Sus scrofa: one gene and its partner. The protein of the gene in region 1 interacts with the protein of each later gene in a biochemical or structural test. Links are inferred from orthologs where the notes say so. Each region holds a gene or a part of one and is shown on either strand. Other genes may lie near its edges. The genes, in order: COPS7A and COPS6.

Evidence for each region.
Region 2: the proteins of COPS7A (region 1) and COPS6 form a complex in vitro, tested with the Homo sapiens proteins (3 studies listed by BioGRID, with this or other methods). The link is inferred for Sus scrofa from reciprocal best matches to the Homo sapiens genes COPS7A and COPS6.

Annotation. Positions count from the first base shown.
Region 1 is NC_010447.5:63,972,003-63,974,728, reverse strand, and holds part of COPS7A (COP9 signalosome complex subunit 7a), read left to right. Parts: coding exon 1-31; intron 32-265; coding exon 266-354; intron 355-1,995; coding exon 1,996-2,198; intron 2,199-2,726.
Region 2 is NC_010445.4:8,001,255-8,004,854, forward strand, and holds the start of COPS6 (COP9 signalosome complex subunit 6), read left to right. Parts: upstream 1-1,447; 5' UTR 1,448-1,486; coding exon 1,487-1,550; intron 1,551-1,762; coding exon 1,763-1,888; intron 1,889-2,098; coding exon 2,099-2,230; intron 2,231-2,846; coding exon 2,847-2,935; intron 2,936-3,032; coding exon 3,033-3,095; intron 3,096-3,404; coding exon 3,405-3,452; intron 3,453-3,528; coding exon 3,529-3,600. UniProt on the Homo sapiens protein: Component of the COP9 signalosome complex (CSN), a complex involved in various cellular and developmental processes.

The DNA of each region.
Region 1 (2,726 bases):
TTTGCTTATGGGACATACGCTGACTACTTAGGTATCCGGAGGGGCCGGAACTCTGGAGATGGGAGATGGGCAGTTTATGTAGAAGAAATTCTTGAGATACCTGACTTAGATCCCATAGGTACAGGGTCAAGGTCAAGACCCAAATTGGCACAGAAAACTCAAAAAAAAAAAAAAAAGAAAAGAAAAGAAAAATCAAGAGGAGAGAGGCTAGGGCTTCCCACACAAGTGAAATCAGGATTTTCTATACCTTGTTTTTTTTTTCTAGCTGAAGCCCGGAATCTTCCCCCACTCACAGAGGCTCAGAAGAATAAGCTTAGACACCTGTCAGTTGTCACCCTGGCTGCCAAGGTCAAGGTGAGTGACAGACCCCCCAGTCCTGAGCCAGGGAGCACTTTTTTGTGTCGGCTTCACAAGGGCCCATCTGAAGGGAATTGCACTGGGACAGCTTTGACCACAGTGGTGCTTCTTCCTGTTTCCCCACATTCCTCCAAGGTCTGTGTCTTACTCTGATACCTGTGGCCCTTTAGGTGGAACGTTATTCTCCCAGCTTTCTATTTTGTTTTTCTTTTTTTTTTTTTTTTTTTATTGCTTTTTATGGCCACACCCACGGCATATGGAGGTTCCCAGGTGAGGGGTCGAAGCAGAGCTACAGCTGCCTGCCTGTGCCACAGCCGCAGCAGTGCAGGATCCGAGCAACATCTGTGACCTGCACCACAGCTTATGGCAACGCTGGATCCTTAACCCACTGGGCAAGGCCAGGGATCGAACCCACAACCTCTTGGTTACTAGTCAGATTCATTTCTGCTGTGGCACAACCAGAACTCCTCTATTTTGTTTTTCAACCCACTTATGTTCTAAGTAAAACATCTTTTGTGTGTCAGGTCAGAATAGCAGCTAGGATGCCACTCACTGTGTTATTCCTCAGCCCATTCCTCCCACTGTATGAAGTCCGTGGAAGCAGCTGCAGTGGCCAGAGCTGGGACACACTCGCTCCTGGTGACGTAGCAGGCTTCTATTTGCTTGAATAAAAAATACATAACCCAGAAGCATCTTTGTATTTCCTGTTGGGTTCCATTCTTGTTAACTGTTTGCCCATCTGCATCTCCCAGTTGTTCCCTGACTCTCCCATCATCCCCATGGTTTGGCTTAAATCAGGCTCACTGCCTCTTTGGAAGGAGACCGTGTATAAATGATAAACAGAAGAGCTCCAGCCTCTCCTCCACCACAGCGTCCCGTAGGTCAAGCTCGTCTTGACCACATCCGTGTACTGTCCTGAGCTGAGCCAGAGGGTTGACACCCAGGCAGATGTCACCCTGTGGTGGGCTGGGCATTGAGGGGAGCATAAATGTTTTCCTTAAGATTGTCCTTTTTGGAGTTCTCCAGTAGCCTTGCAGGGTAAGAATCAGGCGTTGCCAGTGCTGAGGTTTGGTTCCCTGCTGTGTCTCGGGTTTGATCCCTGGCCCAGGAACTTCCCCATGGTGTGGGTGTGCCTGAAAAAAAAGTTGCAGAAAGGAAAATAATATTAAAAAAAAAAGTTCCCATTGTGGCTCAGTGGCATAAGAACCTGACATAGTGTCTGTGAGGATGCAGGTTCAACCCCTGGCCATGCTCAGTGGGTTAAGGATTTGGCGTTGCCACAAGCTGCTGTGTAGGTCGCAGATGCGGCACGGATCCGGGGTTGCTGTGGCTGTGGTGTAGGCTGACAGCTGCAGCTCTGATTTGCCCCCTAGCCTGGAAACCTCTGTGCCACAGGTGGGGCCGTCAAAAAAGACAACAACAGTCATAAATACATAAATGTGAACGATTCTCTTTCTTAGGATGTTATTTATCAGGTGGGAATACTTTCATTTATTTTGCCTTAGAACCTGCCTTTTACGGAAAGTGATTGAGGAGGAGGACTGGAGGGCGGGCAGTGGGGGAAGGAGGGAAGAAGAATCTTGGAAGCCCTTCTCTGTGCGGAACCTCACAGACCGCAGCCCGACCTCCGGGCCCCAGTGTATCCCATATGCAGTGCTGCTGGAGGCCCTGGCCCTGCGGAACGTGCGGCAGCTGGAGGACCTGGTCATCGAGGCCGTGTACGCCGACGTGCTTCGCGGCTCCCTGGACCAGCGCAACCAGCGGCTGGAGGTTGACTACAGCATCGGGCGGGACATCCAGCGCCAGGACCTCAGTGCCATTGCCCGAACCCTGCAGGAGTGGTGAGACCTGGGTCCCGGCACTGTCCCTCCTCTGCTGGCCCCAAGAAGGGAGGGCTGCTTTGGTGGAGGCCGGGGGTGGGGGGGGGGGGTGGCTGGGCGGCAGAGGCACCCCCCAGGAGCCTGAAGAGGAACTGGGAGGAGGAAGGGGGGGTCCTCTTGAGGGGATCCTCCCTGGGGGGTGGGCCAGGCAGGATGCAGTATGACCAGCGCTGTCCACAGGCCTTGGGCCTCTCTCACTTCTGTTTTCTCTGTGTTCTTATCTGACTTGGGTTCGTTAACACAGCTTCTTTTCTTCCTCTGGAGCACGTCCTGCCCCGTTGTGGGTTTAGTTCCTCGCCCATCACTCCAGGCACTTGCTTTCTCCTCCCTTAGCCTACCGGAGTGTCCTTAAGGCTCCCGGGGATCTCGTTGAGGTGGTTTCCACGGGGCCAGGCGAGGCTTCTAACGCAGACAGGGCTCCGGCTGCCCGGGTCTCGGGGTGTCTCTGTGTCCGTCTCGGGAGTCTGTGCTCGCAGCCCTCTGCTGACC
Region 2 (3,600 bases), on another chromosome or scaffold:
TGAGAGCTCCTCTTTCTTTATTCTTTCCTTTGTTTTTTGTGTTTGCTTGTTGCTTTGGAGAGGAACGCTTTCTTAACTTCCCTTTGGCCAGGAGATCTCCCTCCCTGCAGGATTTCTCAGGCCTTTACTTTGAGAGTTGCTGGTCGTTTAATTTCCCTTTATGCAGGCTCTTAAATGGAGAGATAGCTTAATTCGCACCAGTCACTATTATCACCAGAAAACATCTCTGGGCAGCAGAGTAGGCTCCGCAGGTAAAGGTACAGGTCTCTACCTGCTTTTTAGGAGCTAACACTTGGGTGTGTTACAGACACACCTAAAGAACCAGCCAAATTGTAGGGGCGACAAGACAGGGTAAAGGCAGTGTACACAACTTGCTCGGGTGTAGGGGTGGGGAGAGGGCTGGAGTGGGCTAGGTTTGCCGGAGGTGGTTTTTTGTTTTTTCTTTTTAGGGCCGCACCCTTGGCATATGGAAGTTCCCAAGCAAGGGGTCGAATCCGAGCTGCAGCTGCTGGCCTATGCCACAGCCAATGTCAGATCTGAGCCCAATCCGTGACCTCTGTTGCAGCTTGTGGCAACGTTGTATCCTTAACCCACTGAGCAAGTCCAGGTATCGAACCCACATCCTCATTGATACTAGTTGGGTTCTTAACCTGCTGACCACAACGGGAACTCCCAGAAGTGAGTTTTGAAAGACTAACGGAGACGGAGGGTAGAGGGAAGTTGGGAGGGGTTAGAAAATGCCAGGGATGTTCTCAGTGCTGTAGGTAATGAGGTGGAAGGAGGAAAGAAAGGATGTGTAGACCAAGGCACTCAGGACCAGGCTCCACTGGCAAACCATTCATTCACTCAAAAATCATTTATGGAGTTCCCCTGTGGCTCAGCGGGATTTGAACTTTTGTGGCTCTGATTACAGCTGTGGCGTGAGTTCCGTCCCTGGTGCGAGTACTCCTGCATGCTGTGAATGCGGCCCGAAAAAGAAATCATTTAGGTGCCCATATGTCAGGTAGTTTTGATCACGTGTTACAGTGATAAAGGCGACAGAACGCCCTTCGGTGGGGATGAGTGAGACGTGTGCAAGGAACAGACACGAGAGCCAATGTGGCTGAAGCACGGCGATCAAAGGGCAGAAAAGCAGAGGCCAGGGCTGGCTGGCGGGCAGGGGTCTGATCTTACAGGGTCTTGCAGGTGGTTAGGAGTGTGGCTTTTACTCTGAGGGCAACAACATGAAGTTTCATTCATGCTGCAGCAGCCTTACAAAGTAGGCAGTCTAATCCCAGTATACTTTAGGACGATCAGGGTGCGGTTAAGTAAGTTGTTCAAGGTCAGAGGCAGGCGAGAGGGCTACTAAGACCTGCCGGCTCTCCCCGACCCAGGGCTGCCTGCGCGGGTCTGGGCAGGCGCGCGCCACGGCCGCACTGAGCATGCGCTGCTGCCTACGGAAGCCGGCAGGGAGGGGGCGGGGCCGACACTGGCGGGCGCGGGGGAAATGGCGGCGGCGGCTGCGGCGAACGGGACCGGAGGGAGCAGCGGGATGGAGGTGGATGCAGCAGGTAACCGACCGGGAGGGAGCGGCTTCTGGAGACGCCCTTGGGGCGCGTCAAGGCCTTCCTGGACTCCCGGGGAAGTCGGGAGGGCGGGTCAGCGGCGCGTTCCCTGGGATAACTTGCGGGAGGGATGTATGGCCCGGCTCTGCTGGCTTCCCCTCCCATCTCCCGGGGGGAACGTGGGACCCGGACTCTCACCCTCTCTTCCAACTGCTTAGTCGTCCCCAGCGTGATGGCCTCCGGAGTGACTGGCAGTGTTTCAGTCGCCCTTCACCCCCTCGTCATTCTCAACATCTCAGACCATTGGATTCGCATGCGCTCCCAGGAGGGGCGGCCTATGCAGGGTGAGTGTTCGGCGTAATTCTCTGGCCTTCTTTTCCTGGTCATCTCCCCCAAACGGTGGTCCTTCCCTTTCCTTTGCTGAAGCCAATTCTTCCGCCGCAAACCACCCGTTTCCCTAGTACTGGGTTCACTTGACCTCAGACCCTCAGGCTATACTGATTTAACTAAGTTTCAGGATTCTTTACCCTCACCTCTTGTGTCCTCTCCTCCAGTGATTGGGGCTCTGATCGGGAAGCAGGAGGGCCGAAATATCGAGGTGATGAACTCCTTTGAGCTGCTGTCCCACACCGTGGAAGAGAAGATTATCATTGACAAGGAATATTATTACACCAAGGAGGAGCAGTGTGAGAGGGGAATAGAGGTGGGGGAGAGGAGTGGGAGTTAAAAAAAGAAAGAAAATCAGAATAGGGAAGGTGGAGAGGGTTGGGGGGAAAAAAATAAACAGGAGATGAGCAGAATGGAGGCCAAGTGACGAGAAGGTAGCTGTAGAGATCTTTAAAAAAGAACATATTTGGGAGTTCCCGTCGTGGCTCAGTGGTTAACGAATCCGACTAGGAACCATGAGGTTGCGGGTTCGATCCCTGGCCTTGTTCAATGGGTTAAGGATCCAGTGTTGCCATGAACAGTGGTGTAGGTCGCAGGTGCAGCTCGGATCCTGCATTGCTGTGGCTGTGGTGTAGGCCGACGGACACAGCTCCAATTGGACCCCTAGCCTGGGAACCTCCATGTGCTGCGGGAGCGGCCCTAGAAATGGAAAAAAGACCAAAAAAAAAAAAAAAAAAGAACATATTTGGTTACTTCCCACAAAGTAAGGAGAAGATAGAAGAGATGACTTACTCTAAACTGAGCCGGGATGGGATGGGGAGAAGCTGGTTAAAATCCACCAGGAGCTTCAAATTAAAGAAGCGATATTTAAAAAAAAAAAAAAAATACTCTGTGCTCTGGCCCTTTCCTCCTCAGTTAAACAGGTGTTCAAGGAGCTGGAGTTTCTGGGTTGGTATACCACAGGGGGACCGCCTGACCCCTCTGATATCCACGTCCATAAGCAGGTATACACACTTCCGTTTGCACGTTGGGGCGGAGGACAGAGGATGAGCGGGAGAAAAATGGGCCCTGGCACTCAGGTGCATCTGCCCCCTCTTCCAGGTGTGCGAGATAATTGAGAGCCCTTTGTTTCTTAAGTTGAACCCTATGACTAAGCACACAGATGTGAGTAATACTGAGCCCGTGGCTACTTTGTCCTGCTTGTCCATTGCTATGCCTACCCAGATTTTAATTCTCATCCTGTTTTTTACTGTATCGCCTCTGTTGAATTGACTCTCCCTTCTCTTTACCAGCTGAGACTTTGGGTGTCATTTAACCTCTAAACTGCATTTCCCCCATGTACTAAAATGGGATAATTCCTACTTGTAACTTGGGGACATAGAAAAACGGAATGCGAAAGGGCCAAGCCTGGTTTGGGGCCCTTCAGGTACGTGTGCTGTTACTAAGAGCTCTTCGCCCATCTCCTCTTTACAGCTTCCGGTCAGCGTCTTTGAGTCTGTTATAGATATCATCAATGGAGAGGTAATGCCATACCCTTCAACTCTCAGACCCTGCTCCCGGTGTTTCCTGCTTTTGACTCTCTCTCTGTGCCCTGTAGGCCACGATGCTTTTTGCTGAGCTGACCTATACCCTGGCCACAGAGGAGGCTGAACGCATTGGTGTAGATCAT